Linked DNA regions of Macaca fascicularis. The protein of the gene in region 6 purifies or fractionates together with the protein of the main gene of each other region. This does not show direct contact. Links are inferred from orthologs where the notes say so. Each region holds a gene or a part of one and is shown on either strand. Other genes may lie near its edges. The genes, in order: ZMYND19, RMND5B, MAEA, HTRA2, TCEAL9 and ARMC8.

Evidence for each region.
Region 1: the proteins of ARMC8 (region 6) and ZMYND19 purify together in Homo sapiens (affinity purification with mass spectrometry; 4 studies listed by BioGRID and IntAct, with this or other methods). This does not show direct contact. The link is inferred for Macaca fascicularis from reciprocal best matches to the Homo sapiens genes ARMC8 and ZMYND19.
Region 2: the proteins of ARMC8 (region 6) and RMND5B purify together in Homo sapiens (affinity purification with mass spectrometry; 4 studies listed by BioGRID and IntAct, with this or other methods). This does not show direct contact. The link is inferred for Macaca fascicularis from reciprocal best matches to the Homo sapiens genes ARMC8 and RMND5B.
Region 3: the proteins of ARMC8 (region 6) and MAEA purify together in Homo sapiens (affinity purification with mass spectrometry; 5 studies listed by BioGRID and IntAct, with this or other methods). This does not show direct contact. The link is inferred for Macaca fascicularis from reciprocal best matches to the Homo sapiens genes ARMC8 and MAEA.
Region 4: the proteins of ARMC8 (region 6) and HTRA2 purify together in Homo sapiens (affinity purification with mass spectrometry; 5 studies listed by BioGRID and IntAct, with this or other methods). This does not show direct contact. The link is inferred for Macaca fascicularis from reciprocal best matches to the Homo sapiens genes ARMC8 and HTRA2.
Region 5: the proteins of ARMC8 (region 6) and TCEAL9 purify together in Homo sapiens (affinity purification with mass spectrometry; 3 studies listed by BioGRID and IntAct, with this or other methods). This does not show direct contact. The link is inferred for Macaca fascicularis from reciprocal best matches to the Homo sapiens genes ARMC8 and TCEAL9.

What each region holds. Positions count from the first base shown.
Region 1 is NC_088389.1:1,728,941-1,732,440, forward strand, and holds part of ZMYND19 (zinc finger MYND domain-containing protein 19), read left to right. Parts: intron 1-6; coding exon 7-113; intron 114-708; coding exon 709-849; intron 850-3,500. UniProt on the Homo sapiens protein: May be involved as a regulatory molecule in GPR24/MCH-R1 signaling.
Region 2 is NC_088380.1:184,918,431-184,921,930, forward strand, and holds part of RMND5B (E3 ubiquitin-protein transferase RMND5B), read left to right. Parts: intron 1-2,014; coding exon 2,015-2,160; intron 2,161-2,283; coding exon 2,284-2,424; exon of another isoform or gene 2,425-2,900; coding exon of another isoform or gene 2,901-2,984; intron 2,985-3,066; coding exon 3,067-3,167; intron 3,168-3,383; coding exon 3,384-3,500. UniProt on the Homo sapiens protein: Core component of the CTLH E3 ubiquitin-protein ligase complex that selectively accepts ubiquitin from UBE2H and mediates ubiquitination and subsequent proteasomal degradation of the transcription factor HBP1.
Region 3 is NC_088379.1:1,447,686-1,451,185, reverse strand, and holds part of MAEA (E3 ubiquitin-protein transferase MAEA), read right to left. Parts: intron 1,656-3,500; coding exon 1,547-1,655; intron 1-1,546.
Region 4 is NC_088387.1:47,414,458-47,418,508, forward strand, and holds the start of HTRA2 (serine protease HTRA2, mitochondrial), read right to left. Parts: upstream 2,801-4,051; 5' UTR 2,758-2,800; coding exon 2,252-2,757; intron 2,151-2,251; coding exon 1,946-2,150; intron 1,857-1,945; coding exon 1,662-1,856; intron 1,427-1,661; coding exon 1,394-1,426; intron 1,169-1,393; coding exon 1,063-1,168; intron 934-1,062; coding exon 864-933; intron 175-863; coding exon 79-174; intron 1-78. Other genes in the region: lipid droplet-regulating VLDL assembly factor AUP1, read left to right, coding at 3,132-3,181, 3,262-3,399, 3,479-4,006.
Region 5 is NC_088395.1:109,735,736-109,739,375, reverse strand, and holds TCEAL9 (transcription elongation factor A protein-like 9), read right to left. Parts: upstream 2,496-3,640; 5' UTR 2,367-2,495; intron 1,881-2,366; exon of another isoform or gene 1,813-1,880; intron 1,359-1,812; 5' UTR 1,282-1,358; coding exon 964-1,281; 3' UTR 501-963; downstream 1-500. UniProt on the Homo sapiens protein: May be involved in transcriptional regulation.
Region 6 is NC_088376.1:41,022,409-41,026,538, reverse strand, and holds the start of ARMC8 (armadillo repeat-containing protein 8), read right to left. Parts: upstream 2,801-4,130; 5' UTR 2,777-2,800; coding exon 2,732-2,776; intron 1,935-2,731; exon of another isoform or gene 1,807-1,934; coding exon of another isoform or gene 1,804-1,806; intron 1-1,803. UniProt on the Homo sapiens protein: Component of the CTLH E3 ubiquitin-protein ligase complex that selectively accepts ubiquitin from UBE2H and mediates ubiquitination and subsequent proteasomal degradation of the transcription factor HBP1.

The DNA.
Region 1 (3,500 bases), on a different chromosome or scaffold from region 6:
TCTCAGGCCCGAATGGAAGTGGATGCAGATGGAAATGGTGCTAAGATATTTGCCTATGCCTTTGACAAGAACCGAGGAAGGGGCTCTGGGAGACTCCTTCATGAACTGCTGTGGTGGGTGTTTCCAAGCTGCCTCTGCCCCCTGCCACTGGGCTCCTGGGTGAGCTCCGATGGCACAGGGCGCCTGGAGCCCCCTGCCCCACTGAGGCCCTGCCTTGCCTTCCCTGAATCTCGCAGTTATTTTTGTGTGCTTTGCCACTAACTCAAAGGAATGAATGATTTGTATGTTACGCTTCAAACACCAAGTGGACTTTCTGCTGGAAGCTTGCCCAGGACTGGTGGCCTCTGCAGGGACGGTGGTTGCTCCCCTTGCTGGTTTTTTGCTGAGCCCCCTGGTGTGCATGGTGGGGACCACTCAGATGGGGAGCTGTCTCCAGGCCATCTGCTCAGGTGGTTTTACGTTCCACCCTTGGCTGTCTGTGCTCCGAAGTCCAGGGCCCAGGTCCTCCCTGTATCCCTGTCCTGTTTGGGCCACAGATCAGGTGCTTGGGTTTCTCTTGGCAGCTTCCGCCTGAGGTACCCTCCTCCAGAGGGGTAGGGGCCTGATCACATCACATGGCTGACGTTTCTTCCTGGAGGACTTTGGTTATCTGTGAGGGTGGGAGGCAGCGATGCAGGGTTAGATGCAGGGTTTGCTGTCTGTTTGTAGGGAGCGGCACCGGGGGGGCGTGGCCCCGGGCTTCCAGGTGGTACACCTCAACGCTGTGACTGTGGACAATCGCCTGGACAACCTGCAGCTGGTGCCGTGGGGCTGGCGGCCCAAGGCTGAAGAGACCTCCAGCAAACAGAGGTGGGTCTTCTCAGGGCCCGGTGATGCTGGCAGAGGTGCCTTTTGAGGAGGGCCACCTCCAAAGCTCTTGTTTCCAAGAGGGTCTCGTGTTCCTCCTCTGAGCCCTGATGCTTCTGTGTGTTTTGGGACTTTCATTGTTTTTCCCCAAAGTGTGGAATCCTCCTTTTCTTTATGGGAGCGTGAAGGATCTTGGTATGTGTTTTTGCATTGCTCTTCTGATAATTGGCTCTGGGAACCTCCCTTTAGCTGGCATGACAAAGCGGGGAGAAGGGCTGCCTGCTCCAGGGCAGGGCCCGCGCTGGGACTCGGTGTGAGCAGGGCTTGTGCCCCACACCCCGGGAGGCATCAGCCTTCTCACCTCAGGATTCCTCCCTTCTCTCCTCACCCTAAGATTCCTCCCTTCTCTCCTCACCTCAGGATTCTTCTCTACTCAACTCAGGATTCCTCCCTTCTCACCCCAGGATTCCTCCCTTCTCTCCTCACCTCAGGATTCTTCTCTCCTCACCTCAGGATTCTCTTCTCAACTCAGGATTCCTCTCTCCTCACCCCAAGATTCCTCCCTTCTCTCCTCACCTCAGGATTCTTCTCTCCTCACCTCAGGATTCTCTTCTCAACTCAGGATTCCTCTCTCCTCACCCCAGGATTCCTCCCTTCTCTCCTCACCTCAGGATTCCTCCCTTCTCTCCTCACCCCAATATTCCTCCCTTCTCTCCTCACCTCAGGATTCCTCCCTTCTCTCATCACCCCAATATTCCTCCCTTCTCTCCTCACCTCAGGATTCCTCCCTTCTCTCCTCACCTCAGGATTCCTCCCTTCTCTCCTCACCTCAGGATTCTTCCCTTCTCTCTTCACCTCAGGATTCTTCCCTTCTCTCCTCACCTCAGGATTCTTCCCTTCTCTCCTCACCTCAGGATTCTTCTCTCCTCACCTCAGGATTCTCTTCTCAACTCAGGATTCCTCTCTCCTCACCCCAGGATTCCTCCCTTCTTTCCTCACCTCAGGATTCCTCCCTTCTCTCCTCACCCCAAGATTCCTCCCTTCTCTCCTCACCCCAGGATTCCTCCCTTCTCTCCTCACCTCAGGATTCTTCTCTCCTCATCTCAGGATTCCTCTCTCCTCACCTCAGGATTCCTCCCTTCTCTCCTCACCTCAGGATTCCTCCCTTCTCTCCTCACCTCAGGATTCCTCCCTTCTCTCCTCACCCCAGGATTCCTCCCTTCTCTCCTCACCTCAGAATTCCTTCCTTCTCACCCCAGGATTCCTCCCTTCTCTCCTCACCTCAGAATTCCTTCCTTCTCACCTCAGGATTCTTCCCTTCTCTCCTCACCTCAGGATTCCTTCCTTCTCTCCTCACCTCAGGATTCCTTCCTTCTCTCCTCACCTCAGGATTCCTTCCTTCTCTGCTCACCTCAGGAATCCTCCCTTCTCTGCTCACCTCAGGATTCCTTCCTTCTCTCCTCACCTCAGGATTCCTTCCTTCTCTCCTCACCTCGGGATTCCTTCCTTCTCTGCTCACCTCAGGATTCCTCCCTTCTCTCCTCATCTCAGGATTCCTTTCTGTGCACACAGATGGGTCTTTTTGTTGTGTTCTTTTGCTAAACAGTTTTCGTTAAGCAAAAGTTTAAAGCAGAGAATGTGTGGTTCAGGGCTCAGCCCTTGGCCCCCCACTTGCCTGTGATCCTGAAAGCGGTGCTTTGCATGGGCTTCCCACGTGGGAGGGCAGTTCCTGCTGGCCCTAGAATCAGCCAGGCTGTGAACTTCATGGAGCCCTTGGGAAGAGCCGAGGGACCAGCAGGATGGGGGTTGGGAACCCAGATGAGCCAGAGAGTCCCCAGCCACACACGCTTCGCTGACATGTTCCCCAGTCGCGCTGGGGCTTCTGGGCATGTCCTCAAGCCTCTGGGCAGCCTTTCCTGGTGCAAGCAGTGCGAACTGCCCTAGCAGATGGTTATCAGCAACGCTGGTAAGGTTTAGTGTTTTGGGCTTGGTGATGGTTGGTGGCTGTGGGTAGAATCTTTGCAGTTGTCACCTCAGGGTCATGCTAGAGCCCCGTGCAGCCGAGGTGGAAACAGTGGGAGCACCTGAGACACTGGTTGGTGATGTGGGGACAGTCCCCAGGTCTCCAAAATGCCACCCCCAAACTGCTGTTCCTGCCACCCTGGAGGGAGTCCTGCAAGTCTCCCCCATCCCCTCCTCACTGGGCCTCTCAGGATGAAGGCAGAGCCTGCGGTGTCTCTCGTTCTTGTTGGGCTAGTGGTTTTGTTCCCTGCTCTGTTTATTTAATGTAATTAATTAATTTTACAGATGGGTCTCACTGTGTTGCCCAGGCTGGTCTCAAACTCCTGGCTTCAGGAAATCCTCCTGCCGCAGCACTCTTTTTTTTTTTTTTTTTTTTTTTTTTTTTTTTTTTTTTTTTTTTTTTTTTTTTTTTGAGACGGAGTCTCGCTCTGTCACCCAGGCTGGAGTGCAGTGGCCGGATCTCAGCTCACTGCAAGCTCCGCCTCCCGGGTTTACGCCATTCTCCTGCCTCAGCCTCCCGAGTAACTGGGACTACAGGCGCCCGCCACCTCGCCCGGCTAGTTTTTTGCATTTTTTAGTAGAGATGGGGTTTCACCATGTTAGCCAGGATGGTCTCGATCTCCTGACCTCGT
Region 2 (3,500 bases), on a different chromosome or scaffold from region 6:
TAATCCTAGCACTTTGGGAGGCTGAGGCGGGCAGATCACTCGAGCCCAGGAGGTCAAGACCAGCCTGGTCAACATGGCAAAACCAATTAGCCAGGCATGGTGGCACATGCCTGTAGTCCCAGCTACTTGGGAGGCTGAGGCATGAGAATCGCTTGAACCCAGGAGGCAGAGGTTGCAGTGAGCCAAGATTGCACCACCGCACTCCAGCATGGGTGACAGAACGAGACTGTCTCAAAAAAAAAAAAAAAAAAACACAACCAGTGGTATGTGGGAGATACTTTGATACCCTATAAATGTCCTGCTCTTTACCAAATTTCAGCCTCTACTCGTTTTACTATCCATTAATGATTGTTGTGTGAATTATTACTAAGCTGTCTGCAACATGGTGATTTTTCCTGCTTTGTCATTCTTTATACATTTATTAGTTGGCATTCAACTGTAAAGCTTTCCTTTCTCCTTTCATTATTATCACTTTACACTCATATTCTTATTGTATTCAATAGGTTATAATCCATTACGGTTATTTAATGTAATGTTCAAATTGTCTTAGGTCTGACCAGCGGGAGTCCCTGGTTCCTATGTCTTTTTTAAAAACTGAGCTACAATTCACTTACCATTAAACTCACTCTTTTAAAGTACAACTCTGGCCGGGTGCAGTGGCTCATGCCTGTAATCGCAGCACTTTGGGAGGCTAAGGCAGGTGGATCACCTGAGGTCAGGAGTTTGAGACCAGCCTGGCCAACATGATGAAACCCTGTCTCTACTAAAAATACAAAAATTAGCTGGGCGTGGTGTCGCATACCTGTAATCCCAGCTACTCGAGAGGCTGAGGCAGGAGAATCTCTTGAACTCGAGAGGTAGAGGTTGCAGTGAGCCAAGATTGCGCCAAGGCTGGACTGCACTCCAGCCTGAACGACAGAGCAAGACTCTGTATCCAAATAAATAAATAAAGTACAACTCTGGATGGGCATGGTGGCTCATGTCTGTAGTCCCGGCACTTTGGGAAGCTGAGGCAGGTAGATCACTTGAGTCCAGGAGTTCGAGACCAGTCTGGGTAACATGGTAACTCCGTCTACCAAAAATACAAGTATTAGCCAGTCTCATAACCCGGTCTTAAAATAAATAAATACATACATACATAGATGAAAATTTAAAAAATAAAGTACAACTCAGTGGTTTTCAGCATATTTACAGAATTGTACAATCTTCACCACTATCTAATTTCAGAACATTTTCATCACCCCCAGAAGAAACCTAACCCATTAACTATCTCTCCATTCCTCCCTCTCCCTAGCCTCTGGCAACCACTAATCTCTTTTTTGTCTCTATAGATCTGCCTATTTTGGACAGTTCATATAAAAGGAATCATATCACATGTAGCCTTTTGTGTCTGGCTTCTTTGATTAATGTGACCTTTTCAAGGCTTATCTATGTTGTAGCCTGTATCAGCACTTCATTCCTTTCTATGGCTGAATGACAGTCCATTGTATGGATGTGCCATATTCTTCCACTGATTGATGGACATTTGGGTTGTTTCCACCTTTGGGCTATTATAAATATCACTGCTATGAATATTCACTTACAAGTGTTTGTGTGGACATATGTTTTTATTTATTTTGGTGTATACTTAGGAGTGGAATTGCTGGATCCTATGGTAACCCTATGTTTAACTTCACAGTTAAACAGAACCCTATGCATGCTGTAGTGCGTGAGTTAAAATAAACACTCGGCCCATAGTAAGTGCCAAATCATCTTCATTTCACTATAATTTTACAGATGAGGAAATGAAGGCTTCCAGAGGTGAACTGGCTTTTCCCATTTGACCAGTTCCAAGTCAGACAGTTAAAAAGTGGCAGGACCTGGAAGAGAAGCTAGTTCTTTCACCCTGGCATTTAGGGCTGCCTCCTGGGCCACGGGGCTGGCATTTAGAATAGAGGAGGCAGAGCTAAGGTCTGCTGCCAAGGCAGGTGCCCCAGTCTGCCTCCTCTGTGTCCTTATTCCACTTTCTCTGCAGCCCTCCAGGGGACCCCTCTCTCAGCCACCCTCTCTCTGGTGATGTCACAATGCTGCCGGAAGATCAAAGATACTGTGCAGAAACTGGCTTCGGACCATAAGGACATTCACAGCAGTGTATCCCGAGTGGGCAAAGCCATTGACAGGGTGAGCACATGGCTGGCTCCAGGCCTGGGCTGGGAGTACCCTGAAGCTGGGATGTACAAGGACTCGAAGGAGAGCCAGCAAGAGTGCCCACATCACCAGGCCCTGTCTCTCCTCCTTTGTCAGAACTTCGACTCTGAGATCTGTGGTGTTGTGTCAGATGCGGTGTGGGACGCGCGGGAACAGCAGCAGCAGATCCTGCAGATGGCCATCGTGGAACACCTGTACCAGCAGGGCATGCTCAGCGTGGCCGAGGAGCTGTGCCAGGTACAGCCGGGCCGGGCAGGTGCTGACAACCTGCCTGCTCTGCCTTTCACCTGCTAGTTTTCAGTATATGAAGTCCCTGCCATTCTTCAATTCCGTTTATTTCCTAAAGGAAATCAGCGCCTCTGCCAGAAGTAGAAGGTAGCTTTAAAAACGTATATGATGAAAAGAGAAGTTACTCATTTCTAGTTAGAGTTGGTTGCCAGCCAGGGTTCAGAGCTGAGGCCTCATATCCCTTTATTGAAAAGGGAGATGGATGAGTGAAATGACAAAGTAGTACTTGTTAGGTGTTAAAGACACACTGGTGGTAAAAGTAAAGATTTTCCCTACTGTACTAGGAGGATTGAAGAGGAATAATTTTCTCGCCATGCAACTCCGTGTGTAGCCTGGGGACTGTCTCCACTGCTACGGTTGTAGGGTGGGGTTTGCAGTCCGCACTCTGGAGGTCAGCATGTCTACTCAGCCTCCCCAGGATCGAGATGGGAACAAGAGAGGCCCAAGTGGCTGGCACGAGACCAAGCTCCTCAAGCAAAGCCCAGCTCTCTCTGGCCTGTCTTTGGCGGGTGAGCTTTTATTATGTGCACAGCAGAGAACTTTGGAAACACCATCTTGCAGTGGTGGGATCTCTTCTCTCTCTCCTTGTAGGAATCAACGCTGAACGTGGACTTGGATTTCAAGCAGCCTTTCCTAGAGTTGAATCGAATCCTAGAAGCCCTGCACGAACAAGACCTCGGTCCTGCGCTGGAGTAAGGAGGCCCTTGGGTGGGCCAGCAGCACTCTGCTCTCCGACCTCTCAGGGCACAGGGCTTGACTGCGGTCTTCAGTTCACCCAGATGTACTTGACTTGCCTCCAGCCCTGTCTCAAGAGCCTCACACAGGCTTTTGGGGCCCTCCTCTCAGGTCCTGGCTCTCAGGTCCTAGCCCCCACCAGCTCTACACTAAACTGGCCCCTTTCTTCCCAGATGGGCCGTCTCCCACAGGCAGCGCCTGCTGGAACTCAACAGCTCCCTGGAGTTCAAGCTGCACCGACTGCACTTCATCCGCCTCCTGGCAGGAGGCCCGGAGAAGCAGCTGGAGGC
Region 3 (3,500 bases), on a different chromosome or scaffold from region 6:
TGCCAACTGACAATCTGGGAAGCTTAGACTCCACCCCCGAAGATCCTCTTGACCTAATGATGGTTTATTACGAGATGTCCCAAACGCCTGAGATCCAGGAGAATTCAGGCTGAGAAAGCTTCCAGCAGCTTTCAGAAGGCAGCAGGTCTAGGTCTGCCCAGGGCTTTGCAGTCCCTACAGGGTGGTGGGTGGGGGCTGCTGGGAAACACCCCTGCCTCTGACAGAGACCGGCGCCAGGCTCAAAGAACAAACTGTCAACTCCAGGAGGTTTCATCCGCTTCCCCCTTTTCCAGGAACTGAAACTGTTCCCAGCGTTGATGAGCACAGGGGTGGGCATGGGGGTGAGCACACGGTGGGCATGGGGTGGTTGCAAGGGTGGGTACACAGTGGGCACAGGGGTGGGTGCAGGGGTGGGCACACGGTGGGCATGCGGGTGGGTGCAGGGGTGGGTACACAGTGGGCACGGCGGTGGGTGCAGGGGTGGGCACACGGGCATGGGGGTGGGTGCAGGGGTGGGTACACAGTGGGCATGGGAGTGGGTGCAGGGGTGAGCACACGGGCATGTGAGTGGGTGCAGGGGTGGGTACACAGTGGGCACAGAGGTGGGTGCAGGGGTGGGCACACGGGCATGTGAGGGGGTGCAGGGGTGGGTACACAGTGGGCACAGAGGTGGGTGCAGGGGTGGGCACACAGCACGGGGTGGGTGCAGGGGTGGGCACACGGTGGGGGCAGGGTGGGTGCAGGGGTGGGCATGGGTGCAGAGCGGAGCCACTCACCCGGGAGCAGCTGGCTGCTGGGTTGGGTCCAGGTCTGAGCACAGGGTGCTGGTTAGTGATGGCAGAACCCCCACCCCTACCCCAGTGACCACGGAGACTTGGAGGCTCCAATATGTACAGGTAAAATACAAAACGTCGCACGAGGACCATGGAAACCACAGAAGATGGTGCAGCCTAACACCTGACTCGGGCTGCAGACAAAGGAGAACCAGGGAACAGGGCAAGGAAGCTGGGCCCCGGCTGAACACGCCAGGCTTAAAAGCTTCCTGAATCTTTCTCATTCAACTTTTTTTTTGGAGACAGGGTCCCGCTCTGTCACCCAGGCTGGAGTGCAGTGGCACAATCTCGGCTCACTGCAGCCTCAACCTTCTGGGCTCAAGTTATCCTCCCACCTCAGCCTCCTGGGTAGCTGGACTACAGGCAGGTGCTACCATGCCCAGCTAATTTACAAAAAAATTTTTTTTGTAGAGACGGGGTGTCACTATGTTGCCCAGGCTGGTCCCAAACTCCTGGGCTCAAGTGATCCTCCCACCTCAGCCTCCCAAAGTGCTGGGATTCCAGGGGTGAGCCGCCACACACAGCCCTGATTCAAAATTCTTACGAGCAAAATGGGAATTGAACAAGAAAAGCCTGTCTTGGCAGGCTGGACAGGCCGTGTGGCTGGGACAGGGCCCTCACGTCCTGCCCCGTGTATGGCAGCAGTTACAGACCAGAGACACACCTTGCATCCCCACCCCATCACGACACCGACCCGCGGACGCAGGTCCTACCTTGTACGGGGAGATGTGCGTGTCGGGCGGGAAGGCCAGCATGCCCATGGCCTGGCGCACCTCGTCCAGCTGGCTCCCTTCTGCTTGGCTGAAGTGCTTTCTCGCGTGTCTAAAAAACAACATTTTGGCACATGTAAGTTTGCGTTTTTATTTTAATTTTTAGAGACAGGGTCTTACTCTGTCACCCAGGCTGGAGTGCAGTGGCACAGTCACAGCTCACTGTAGTCTCGAACTCCCGGGCTCAGGCGATCCTCCCAGGAAGCTGAGACCGCAGATGTGCGGCACCACGCCCAGCTAATGTAAAAAACGTCTTATTAGAGACAGAGTCTCGCTGTGTTGCCCAGGCTGGTCTCCAGCTCCTGGGCTCAAGCCATCTTCGTGCCCCAGCCTCCCAAAGTGCTGGGATTATAGGCATGACCCACTGTACCCGGCCTGCATTCTTAAGTTGAAAAATCTGAGCTAACAGCGTTTATGTCAGAGTCTAGGTACAAAGTAATCGCCTCACTCCAAGCCGACCTGCTGAGTGGGGCTGGGATGGCAGGAGGTGCAGCTCACCTGAGGCTGGAGAAGCAGCTACCAGACACTCCTTCCCCCAGGGACAGGGCACCCAAGCCACACACACAACCCACGGAAAACACCAGAACTGCAAATGGCACCTGCCCCTCAGGCCTCTCCAAAGCGATTCTGGTTTACAAGGAACCCAAACCTTAAGGACTCCCACTGACCCTGGATGCTTGCCTCCGTGGCCCCTATGGCCCCAGTGGACCCAGCGGACCAAGAATGTGTAGTCTGCTCGACTGCAGTCCTTGCTGTTCGGCAGTGACACCCAGCACAACCTTCCAAAGAACAGCCTCCCTCAGCCCACAGGCTGGACTCCCTGCAGATCCGGCCCAGCCCTCTCAGCCCTGAGCCTGCCACACACCACATGCAGCCACAATGTTTCCTGAGCCAACTCTGCAAGATGCACACAGGCCCGCTCCAGGACAGAACCCCACTCCAGTCTGTGGCTAGACAACTAAGAAACCAAAGCAGAACACGACAGGCCCCTTTCGAGCTGATCAAGAGGGCACCTGCTCACCCCAAGGGCCCCCATTCCATGCCCCCCCACACACACAGGGTCACCGTCCCTCTGGCTGTCCTGAGGACCTGCACCCCCATGTCCCGACCCTCACATGGGCCCCTGTGCACCCCACGTCCTCAGCCCTCAAGGCCCCTCCCCCAAAGCGACCCCAATGCACAGAACCTCAAGTCCCACGTATGAGTCAGCCCTGTGCTGTCCAGAACAAGGCATGTACCCAGGAACACGGGGCTGAGGAGGTGCTGGGTGCTCACGGTGGCCTCGGAGAAGAGGCAGTGACTGGCAGAGACTGGAGTTAGCGCAGGAGGTGCCCCCGCAGCCCCTTGATGGATGGCACGGTGACCATGTGGTGGAGGCACCACGAGGGGAGCCTGGGGCAGCAGGGAGCGGGGGGTGCCCAGGCTTGGGACCCAGCCTGGAGAGTCCACACGGCCAACCCCGCAGGACATATGCAGGGACTGGGAGTCGGGGGTGAGTCCACACGGTCGACCCCGCAGGGTGCATGTACAGGGGCTGGGGATGGCCATCCGAGATTCCAGTGCCTGTGCATCTCCCTCCTGGAGTGTGTGGGGGGGTGTGTCTGAGTCCACGAAGAGCCCCACCCAACCCCCTCATTCCATCTCTGGAGACAAGTCACCCTTCGTCCTACGCCAAGACGTGCCCAGAACACGGCCCACCAGGGCTGTTTCATTCAACGGGCATCTCACCTCCTCCCAGAGCTGCTGAAGAGGGAATTTAATCTCTGTGGTTGTATCTATGAGATCTCATTTGCGTGACCTGGTTTACGCATCTTATCTCACTATCAATCAAACCCCAGACGGGTGAGGCCAGACTTCCCTGACCAGGCCCTGGCACCTGGAGACCCACTCCCAAGAC
Region 4 (4,051 bases), on a different chromosome or scaffold from region 6:
AGAAGGAGTACAAAGCCTAGTTCAAGGACACATGCACACCTCACCCATCCCCATATCACACTGCAGCCTCTCCCTCACCGGTGTGCAGGGGAGCCCAGGATGACTTTATGGATGAGTACACCATGCTGAACATCAGGAAAGCTTGGTTCTCGAAGCTGTAGTTCAGCAAGGATGCTGAAAGTACACAGATCACCCTATTAGCCAAACCCAGGCATTCTCCCCATCCTGAGTTCCACCTCAAGTCTCTCATCAACACATTGGCAAATAGATGGACAGGACATGCGCTAGGTACTACAAAATACAACGGCAACTCACTTTCTGTCTTCTAGCAATAAAGTGCAACATGTACATAAAAGATGTACACCACATGAGGGCACCAAATGACAAACAGTATGAAATCAATAGCACTAATGTCATTCTAGAGTACTAAAAGAAGCTTTAAGGGGAAAAAACTTAAGCTGAGCCTAAAAGGATGGGTCCAATATTAACCATATAAAACAAGAACAGCATAAATAAAAAACATGGGAGTAGGAAATCAGGTTGGCTGAGTATTCATATAGGAAGGTATTACAGCCAGGTCTAGAAAGTTGATTTACAGACAGATGGAAAATGCCCTTAAATGCCAAGTTAATGGATTGAAGGCTTGAAATCAAAGCAGTAACAGGATGAAATCAGTCTGACAGGTGTACAAAGTGGAGTGGAATAAGAAAGTCAAGATGATGAAGGGAGACAGCTCTTGTGATTATTTCAAGTGTGACACAGTTCATTTTAGATAAAGACAGAAATGAGAACAAAGCTCAATAGAGGTGCCCACCTCTGATTACACTGGTCACATTACATGTCACTATCCCTAAAGCTCATACCTGGGACTCAGGGTCAGCATCATCACCCCAATGTAGCGCCGCTGGGACCCACTGATTCCAGAGGAGGAATCTGTGACAGAGGGACAAATAAGCCCCACCCAGCTACATCCTTCCTTCCCTGCCCTCTTCTCCCAATAGACCACCCTCCAGGAAGTCCCAATGAATGCCCCTCCCGTATTTCCCCATAAGCCAGGCTCACTCTTCTTTTCCCCACGATGCAGAAACTCTCGAAGGCGATCAGAAGGGATGGCAAAGGAGATTCCAGCTGTGACCTTCATGGTGTTCACTCCAATCACCTCTCCATCCTGCAGGGATACATCCCCCAGTTCCCTAGCCCAAACAAATAGTAGGGGATGGGGGCACCCGAACAAAAGTAGCAGCAAGTGTTGGGGAGATCCAGTTGGATGTTGAGAGATAGCCAACAAAGAACTGCTCAGAAACTTGACCAAACATCCTTGAATTAGGGAAAACCTACCCTTCCCACACAGACCTGGGGCTGGGATTCTTGGAAGGAAGGATGTCTCACTCACCAGGTTAACCAGGGGACCTCCAGAGTTCCCAAACTGCAGGACAAGGAGAAAACATGAAAGAGATCTGAGGATTCTAAGTCTGGGGGCATACCAGGATGTAGGTACTTTCTCCAAATTCTCTTCTTTCTCAGCCCATGAATGAGTGGCCACATTTTTGCAGCCTAAGCTCTGTATATAGGCTCATCCACCATATATCAGTTGGTGCTTGTACCACACAGCCTCTCCCCACTCCCCCATCATGTGTCATTTCTCTCCTATCAGGACGCACATCAATAGCTGCATCCGTCTGAATGTATTCCACATTGGTTTGGGGGAGTCCCAGGTCTCTGGCTGGACGCTGAGCAGAGCTAACAATGCCGGATGTGATCGTGTTCTGCAGTGCAAAGGGACTTCCCATGGCAACAACAAACTCCCCTTGCCGGACATCAGCTGAGCGTCCCAGAGGCAGCGTGGGGAGAGGCTCCTAAGGGAGAATGGGTATAAGAGACCTGTCATCTGGAGATGCGAGCAAACAAGCAGCTCCAACCAGACCTGGCCTACCCCAGCCCCCACCTTAGTCTGAATCCTCAGCGTTGCGATGTCTGCCACGGGATCCACAGCTGTGACCACGGCCTCATACGTGTCGCCGCTAAGCAGTCTCACACGGACTCTGCGCCGATCAGCCACCACATGGGCGTTGGTGACAATGAGCCCATCGGCAGCCACCACGAATCCTGAGCCGTTCGAGATAGGGACTTCACGGCCCAAGAAAGGGTGCCTGGAATGGAGGGAAAGCACGGATATGAGGAGGCCCTGACCCCTCCTACCTGCCCGCCCTCCGGCCCGTGGCTTCAGTGCCTCCCGGTCTACCCCCATTACCGGTCCAGGATCTCGATATAGACCACGGCAGGTGCTGTCTTCTCCACCACATCTGCGATGAAGTTGTACTGACTCCGGGGAGAAGCGGGCGGCGGGCCAGGGACGGCGGCGAGGACGGCCGGAGGACCCCGACCCCCGCCCCACAACAACAACAGCACTGCCCCCCCAGCGCCCAGTGCCACAGCCAGCCACGCGCGCGAACGGGTTCCAGAGTTCTCTGAGGCCTCCCGGGTCCTGGTATCTGGGGTCACCGCAGTCAGTTGTGCCCGGGGACCCGGGGTCCCAGACGTCAGACATGCTCGGGGTTCAGGGACCCCAACACACAACCGGGCCCAGAGACTGGGGGTCCCATAAGTCACTCGGGCCCGGGGGTCAGAAGTTCCTGACGTCAGCAGGGCCCGGAGGTCAGGGGTCAACCGGGGTCTCCTCCCCCAGCGAATGCCCCCCAAAGCCCGCCATGCCCGAAGGCTCCAGCCTGCACCCCGCCCCGCCCTCGGCGCAGCCATCAGCTCCGCCTCGGCTGCCTCCTCGCCCGCCCTACTCAGAGGCGGCACCCGGGACGCGAGCAGGCGGACAGTAGGACGCGGGGCACGCCGGTACCTGAAGTCCTCCAGAAGTGCACGTCGGGACCAGGATTCCGGGAGGCCGACTCCTCCCCGTCCCGCGAATGCCGGGAATTGTGGTCTCCGTGGGACGCGAGTTGTGAGACGGCCCAAGGGGCCGCAGGGTATGCTGGGACCGCTAGCCCTTCCGGCGCGCCTCAAGACTTCGGGTCCTGTCACCCCGGGCGGATGCCCAAAGACTCCGCCTTCCCAGGAGCCCCTGCGGCCGGGCGCGAAGATGGCGGCGGCGACGGCTGGGCGCTCCTGAAGCAGCAGTTATGGAGCTTCCCTCAGGGCCGGGGCCGGAGCGGCTCTTTGACTCGCACCGGTAAGAGACCCGGCGGGAAGAGACCTACCCCTGCGTCCTCTCGGCCTTCGGCGCCCGACCACTTCGCCTCTCGCCCCCAGGCTCCCGGGTGACTGCTTCCTGCTGCTCGCGCTGCTGCTCTACGCGCCGGTCGGGTTCTGCCTCCTCGTCCTGCGCCTCTTTCTCGGGATTCACGTCTTCCTGGTCAGCTGCGCGCTGCCAGACAGCGTCCTTCGCAGGTTCTGACGCGGGCGTTTGGGGAGTGTCAAAGCTGGGCCTGGCCCGAGGCCACACAGTCACCACCGCCTGTGTCCCCAGGTTCGTAGTGCGGACCATGTGTGCGGTGCTGGGGCTCGTGGCCCGGCAGGAGGACTCCGGACTCCGGGATCACAGTGTCAGGGTCCTCATTTCCAACCACGTGACACCTTTCGACCACAACATAGTCAATTTGCTCACCACCTGTAGCACCGTGAGTGAGAGCGAGGCCGAGAGCGCCACGGGGCGGTTCCCTGGGGCCCAGCTGAAGGCCCCCCTGTCCCACTCGCGTTCCCCATGGAGGATACTGAGCCTTACCCCTAACCCCGATCCTCTACCCCACATGTCATTTTTTTTCATTTTCCTCAATTTTTTTCTTCTTGCTTTCTCTTCTCCTGGTTCCCAGCCTCTACTTAATAGTCCCCCCAGCTTTGTGTGCTGGTCTCGGGGCTTCATGGAGATGGATGGGCGGGGGGAGTTGGTGGAGTCACTCAAGAGATTCTGTGCTTCCACGAGGCTTCCCCCCACTCCTCTGCTGCTATTCCCTGAGGAAGAGGCCACCAATGGCCGGGAGGGGCTCCTGCGCTTCAGGTGGGTTTAGCACAGGTATCGGGTGCCAACTGGGTAGGTGGTCAA
Region 5 (3,640 bases), on a different chromosome or scaffold from region 6:
GCCTCAGTCTCCCAAGTAGCTGCGACTACAGGCGCCCGCCACCGTGCCTGGCTCATTTTTTGTATTTTTAGTAGAGATGAGGTTTCACCATGTTAGCCAGGATGGTCTCAATCTCCTGACCTCGTGATCCGCCCACCTCAGCCTCCCAAAGTGTTGGGATTAGAGGTGTGAGCCACCCAGCCTTGGGTTTGTTCTTAATCACAGATAAGAACTACTTTCTCCACCCTTCCAAATCCCTGAAATTAATCTCTTATGGAGTTGGGAATGGGAACAAAACTCTGTCAAACATAGCTCACAGTCATTACCTTATTTGGCCCGCACCAGATCCTTGTGAGATTATTTTCTTTATTTTAAAGATGAGAAAATATGTAAAATTTATTATTCTAGCTAAGTGGTCTGGAGTTGCTTTGAAGTTCACATTTGCTTCTAAAATTCTGTCAACAAATATTAAATGCCCCAATACGTTTTGAAATAAACTAGTAAGTGCTGCTTGTTGCTTCTTTTTGTTATAAAGCTTTTATTATTCTAGCAATAATAATGTGTGTTAATTTTAGGAATATAGAAAATACAAATAAGCAAAAGGAGAAAAATCATTCATAATCCCACCACCGAGAGGCTATACTTTCTTTCATCCTTCACAAGTTATGTCCATATATGTAATATACAAATGTACTTTTTACCTTTCAAAAATATGATATTCACATATTACTTAGCCTTTTTTCCATTTTATATCCTACCAAGAACCTCTTTTTTACAAATGAGTAAAGTTCTTTTATTAAAAGACAGAGACTTGTAGATTGGTTCAAAATACAATAAACAATGAGATGCAGATAACAAGAGATACATCTAAAACCATTAATAGCAACAGGTTATAAGTAGAAATATGGACAAAGGAATATCAGGAAATGCTAATAAAAAGCAAGCTATATGGTATTGTTAATGTCAGATAAAAATCAAGGTAAACTACATTAAATAGGGGTAAGGGTGGTTTCGATTAACCTTCCAACGCATCACTATAAGTTTGTTTCTGACTCTCCTTATCTCGTCTATTTCATCCACTTCTCTAAACATATCTTCATTGCTTAAATGCCTGTTGTGTATATCTTCTTTAAACTCCTGGAGAGATTGAATCAGCCTTTCTCTAAAAGTTCCTTTTGCTTTGGCCTCCTCCTCTAGCTTCTCCTCCTCCTCCTCTGGCTTTTCCTCAGGCTTTGGCTCTTCCTCATGCTTTGGTTCACTCTCATTTTCTGGTTTTCCTTCAATTTTTTGACAGGATTTCATCTTGTATCTCTACCTCTCTTCCTTCCTTCCTTCCTTCTTTTATTTTTTTGCTTATTCTTCTTGGAATACAATAACTTCTAGAAAGCAAAAAGAAGACAGTAAGTTAAAGACTTGGTGAGTGGACAGGTGTTGTGGACAGAGGTCTCAGCATTTAATTTTTTTTTATTCAGACTGTTATAAAATATCTTCCACTAAGAAGCCCAGTCAGCAATCAGAGCTTCACTATCCCCACTCCTCTTACCTCCACTTTCCACCTCCTCACTTCTCCTGTCCTTCCCTCTAACCTTTTCCAAGGCCCTTCTTTCCGCCTCCCAGCCCTCCCCAATCCTTTTTCCCCCATAGGGCCTAACACAGGGACCAGGCCAGAAAAGAGAAAGGTGGCTGGCTGGCAGGCAGAGGAAGAGGGGAAAGGAGAAGGGGGAGAGAAAAGAAGAGGGGAAAGGGGTGGGGTGGAAGGGAGCCGGCAGGAACAGTGGAGCTTACAACCTTTGTCTCCACCCCAGGAGACTTTATAATATTCCTCTCACCTACCTGGCACTGATCGGGTCAGTTTCTTCCTCCTCCTTTTCTAGCTTTGGGTCTTGCTAGAAACAACAGACCTGCAGACAAACGGGAAACGGGAGGGGACGGTGGGGGTGGGGCGAGCGCTTGGTGGGCCGACCAGCGCCAGAGACTGACACACGTAGCTTTCCTCCTTTAGGGTTTCGAATATGGAAAGTTTCCCACCTTTTGTTTCCTCCAGTTCACCCCCTATCCACAGTGCATGCAAGTCACTTCGTTTTTCCCATCAAACAAAGAGTGAGAAAGCAGATTATTTCCAAACTATCTTTAAGACTGAGGCGGGTTCGGGAGGAGGGTGGGGGTCCAGAAAGCAGGATTAGATAGCAGAGGACGATTATTTTTAAACTATCACAGGTCTACTTGTTCTTCTCCTAGGACCCCTAGTCCCTTTCCCAAGGGTCATCAGTTCCTGTAGACCTGGAGGTGGAGGGTGGAGAGACGGACCTGACTGGCACTCCCACAAGTCTCTGCCTTAAGCCCCCCCACCCTAGAAATCCCCAGTCAACACCTACATTGACACCAACCTGCAAAATTCCCGCAAGTTTCACTCCTTCCACTAGCCTCAGGGACCACCGCCTGCACTGCTGAAGGAAGCTGGTATCCAGACGGGAACAAGGACCAGACTACCAGGACTTCTGCACACGTCGACTCCTGGTCACATGAGATCTACGTCACCAGTGAGCTCGGGTCCCTAATTTCCACTCCCACCAAAAGCGCGGCAGAAGTGGGCCCACCCTCTGCTCCCTCCCCGCCCCCCACTTACACATTTGGCCCTGTCAGTCTTTTCTGTTGTTTCCTATCCCGGAGGGAAAAATGTTATTTGCTTGACTCTGATTACTAGGGAGGGGCTACCTCTTTTTGTGGAGCTATTGAACTTTTCTACTTCTTTCGAGAATTGTCTCTTCCAGTCTTCCGCTCCCAGGATAACTCCTCCATCAGTCGCCCTCCCCTAGCCTCCATTTCCTCTGCAATCTGGTTCTTAGCTGTTGTGGAGCAGGGTGGGCTTGGCAGCAGTTGTGAAACAACAACAAAAGACCCTGGAACAAGAGTGAGATGTTTTAATGCAATTTTTACTGTTTATTCTTCATACTTCTATATTCTTTTTTTAAAGGTAACTTTAATCTTTCTCTCTCTTTTTTCTTTCTTCTTTCTTTCTTTTTTTTTTTTTTTTTGAGACAGAGTCTCACTCTGTTGCCCAGGCTGGGTTGCAGTGGCGCAATCACAGCTCACCGCAGCCTCAAACTCCTTAACGCGAGCGATCCTCTCGCCTCAGACTCCCAAGTATCTGGGACTACAGGTGTGTGCCACTATGCCCAGCTAGTCTTTTAATTTTTTTGTAGAGACAAGGTCTATGTTCCCCAAGCTGGTCTCCAACTCCTGGGGTCAAGTGATCCTCCTGCCTCAACCTCCCAAAGGGCTGGAATTACAGGCCTGAGCCACTGAATTGGGCAACTTTTATCTTTTTATAGTCAGAAAATACAAAGACAAAATTACTTTAATGACATGAGTTAATATATGTACAGTGCTTAGAATAGTGCCCGGCATATAGTAAGTGCTTTTAAAGTGAAAGCTGTTGTTATATTACACATTTGTGAGGAAGATGATTCAAAATTTTTTTAAAAAGAGTAATGTTTGATTCCAGAGTCCTCATGGTGGTGTTACCAGGAAGCTGTGCTGCCTGAAGAATCATCAGTTAATCAATTGTCAGGTACACATTGTGAGCCTGAGTTTCCTCATCTGACAGAAGGGAATAATAGCATATGCTCATCGAATTGAGATCTATTGAAAATAAAAATGA
Region 6 (4,130 bases):
AGGAGAATCTCTTGAACTGAGGAGGCGGAGGTTGCAGTGAGCCAAGATAGTGCCACTGCACTACAGTCTGGGCAACAAGAGCAAAACTCCATCTCAAAAAACAAAAAAGAAGATAAAGAAGAAAATAAAGAATCTCAACTCTGAAGCTGAATATAAACTTGGGCCTTTAGGCAAAACAAACTCAATAAAGAAAAGAAACCGAGGAGCAGCTGTGCAGAGTTCTTTAGGAAAATTAATGTAGACATTGGGCTTGCACTGAGGGGGTAAGACACTAGAGACAGTAAAAATAACTAAAAGGACGCTGTGGTAGTGCAGGCACAAAACAACAAGGTCCTGAATGAGGGTGGTCATGGGAACAGAAAGATACGAGAAACACTAAGAATAAAGAAGCAACAGAGCTTAACAACTGATAGATATAGGGGGATGAAAGAAGGAAGAACCAGAGATTATTCAGGAGGTTTAACAGTGACTCATCAGTAAAAGATAATACCATTAACAGAAATTGGGAAGTCATAACTAATTCCCCTTAGGAGAAGGAATGTGCTTTGCTGGAAGCGATGGGTGTCATCCACACACAATTTAAGATACAAGACTAGATGTATAAGAAAGTCAAGGTTGGCAATGTAGATGTGTGAACTGATCAGTTAAGGTTATAAGAAAATCAATGAGATCTCCCAAGGAGAAGGTATAAAGAGACTCAAATGGAAATCCTTTAAAACAACTTGAAGGCCTCCTTGCTGAAATTATGTTTATCAAGTTACACCATCATTCAGACTAGGAGCTCCTTAAACACATTTCTGATCTCATCCTTGCATTCTCTAAGGTATACAATGCAGAGCTTGTACATAACTGGTACATTGTAGCTTATTAAAGGAATCAACCATTCAAGATAATTTCTGATGAATACTTCCTGTTCTAGTTTGCGTTTCAAAACGTGGTGCTCTGGGTAGTACTTTGAAAGGTACAGGTTTTACTTTAAATTAGTAAAATCAGTGAATTTAAACATTTTAAATCATTTACCCAAAAGCTCCTACTTCCCCCCCCCAAAAAAAAGCCCCTAATTAGACTAGGGCTAAAGGCAAATTGTAAATAGAAGTATTGATAGAAAATACTCTTCAAGAAGTTTTTGAATAAGCAGAAAACATTATTTACCAAGGAAGTGAAACAAATGAAAACTTTAAATCATATGCATCACACAAGTTGACAACATCCAAAAAGTAAGCTTCAGGTGAACTGAAGAATAAATGAAACCTAAATGCATAATTAAAGGGGAACTGAGAACAGCCAAGACACACACTTTTTTTATTTTTATTTTTTAACATAATGAGGTAAAAGTCATTGGCCTGCACTCCCACAAAATATTCCTGGGTATTACAGTCAGTGATGGAGTAACAGGCTAATCTGATATAATACTTAGGTAAACGGTATTTCCTTAGTTGCAGTTTAAAAATAAGAAAAAACGACTGCTAAAATGGATCGGGGGAAAAATCTGTTGACAGGCTCACAAAATTAAATTATTATTGTATTGACAACTTAAGCCTTTTCAAGGTTGAGGTCTGCCACACCGCTCTAACCCTGAATCATAAGCAAATGTCCTAGCTGCTTTCAGATAGGTGTTTGTGGGACAAGTCAGAGAAGAGAAAAGAAACCGGTTGTAGTTACAAGACTCTAGGAACCCGACAAGTCATTTATAATCCAACGACCCTCTCAGTATCAGACGGGCTTCCACAAGTCTAAAAGATGGTCAATTAGTATGTGCCTGCTTGTTTCCAACAATAGCAAATGAACCATTGGTAAACTGACCATTCTCAGAGTCGGACAGCTCGAATTTGTTGCAAAATCCTTCGAAGTTATCTCCCAGTAACTTTCATTCCTGGTCCTGGTTCAAGAGCAACATAGTGAAAGGTGAAAGTCGTCTTTTTCTTTAAAAAAAACTTTTTTTAAAAAAAAACAAAACAGGTTTTACTTCCTCGCATGTCAATACGTTCCCTTCTTTCAACAATGGGGAAATCTCTCCCCCTTTTCCCCCCTTCAATGTTTGACTCCCCTTAAAGAAAAACGGAATACCAGGCACAGGGAACATAGAGTTCCTTTGACTCAGAGCCGCGACCTCTGAGCAGAGCGGAGGAAAGGGGCTTAAATAACCACACACACTAGGAAGAGTCGCAGCTGATACGAATCACCATTGCCAAAAAGCAAACAGCTTCAGCCGGTGCCCAGGTGCTGGGACGCAATAGAAGTCGCACAGACTTGGCCTGGCAGCTCTGAGGAAATGGGGGCCAAGGAGCCTGCACCTCTTCTTGCCAAAGCCCGGGAGAGCTGAGTGAGCTTTCGTTCCCAGGCCGGCTGCAAGCCTGGCGCTTCACAAGGCAGAGCGCTCGGCCCCCGGGAAGCGGCATCTCTAAGAGGAAGGCTCAGTGAAACGCTTGGCAAAGTCCAAGCCGCGCCGCCGGGCCAGTTGTCTGTAAGCCCAGCTACCCCGCCTGCCAGACGCCATCCTGGAAACCCGCACCGGCAGGAGCTCCCGGAGTTGGAAATGTCTTTGGCTCGGCCGGGGTCCCCTCTGCCCGTCTATCCCGCCTGTCCACCCTCGCTCACTCCCTGGCCCAAGACTGAGCCGGGGACCACCCCAGGGGGTGGTGCCCAGGAGGCACACCACGCTTGGGGGAATGGTGGAGACCGGGATGGGGCTCCCTGGAGGGCGGGCGGGCGGCCGCAGCGGGTCACTCACCGAAAGGACGCTCATGCGGATTGGGGTCTCTAACAGGCACGCCATCTTGAGCCTTCCCACCCGGCTGCTGCAGGCGCCGGCGCGGGGGCCGGCACTTTCGACAGCCAACTATTGGCCAACGCTAGTCATCGCTCCTTAAAGACAGCCGGATAGACGAGAACTGGTCACGCTCTGGACACCGCTCAAGTACCAGAAAGGCCCGCAGAAAGAAGGGCAAAAGGGAATCGCGTCAGGGGCTGTCCTACGAATCGTTCTCTCAGAAACAGCAGCTACTCTGAGCCTGGTTTAGAGGTGGGAGCGGGCAGCGGTTTCCGCATGCGCAAAGAAGATCTGCCGGCCCCACCTGCCGCTCGCGGTGGGCGGGGCCCTAGAGGCGGAGTCTCGCCCTGGCGCTACGAGCTCTACCGACTGATAAATTGCAGTTTGTGGGTTCCCGTATTCATATTTGGAAAAAGTAGTACGTGGAGCCATATACATAGTTTGAAGTTCACTTTCATATTCATTCTCTCTCTCTCTGCACCAAACTCCCGGCGTCGTTATCTCCATTTTATAGGTGGGGAAATTGCGATCCCAGAACCTTTGTCAACCATAAGAGTGATTGTTTCACGATCCAGTACAGAAGTGTGACTTGCCTTAGGTTGTGTGTCGGCCCCGTTTATTCTGGTGTAGTGTTGAGAATAGCCAGAATGCTTGAGCTTCTTCCCAGCTACTTCTCAGCTGCTTTACCCTGGGTAAGTTATCTAACCTTATGTTTTGAGTTTCCTCATCTGTAAAATAAAGGTTAATGAGGATAAAGGAGTCAACAAATGTGAAGCGCTAAGAAAAAACCTAAAACATGGAAAGCGTTATACATATGTGTTAATGTTTCTCCAGCTTCTGAGTTAAGTGGGGAAAATGGGGGCAAATATCTAAATATTTCACACTAAAACACTCTGATAACCGAAGCCAAATAAAAGTATGCTTTTAATTATAGTTGATTAATTCAGCTGTCCTACTACTTTGTGTGTGTGTGTGTGTGTGTGTGCGTGCGTGCGCGCGCGCGCAACACTGCCCTTGACTTGGTTGGACAAGTTTCACCTTCGTACTGCTTGCAACCAGTAAGGTTTTCACAGTAGGGTTGCAATTAGCCTATTAACATTACTTGTATTCCTTCCATTTCTATAGCCACACCCTAATTCAGGCTCTTGTAACCTCTCCCCTGGACTAGAGCAAAAGCCTTCCAACTGGTCTTGTAGCTGATAGCCTCTCCCTCACTTTGCTCTTCACTGTTTTCCTGTCTTCCTCCTGTACTTGGTTTCCAAATTTAGAATAGCATTTATCACCCCTGTTTATGGGTCTGTGTTCCTTAACAAACTGTTGAGTTCCTGGAAGGCAGGAATTTTATTTTAGGTAGTCCTTC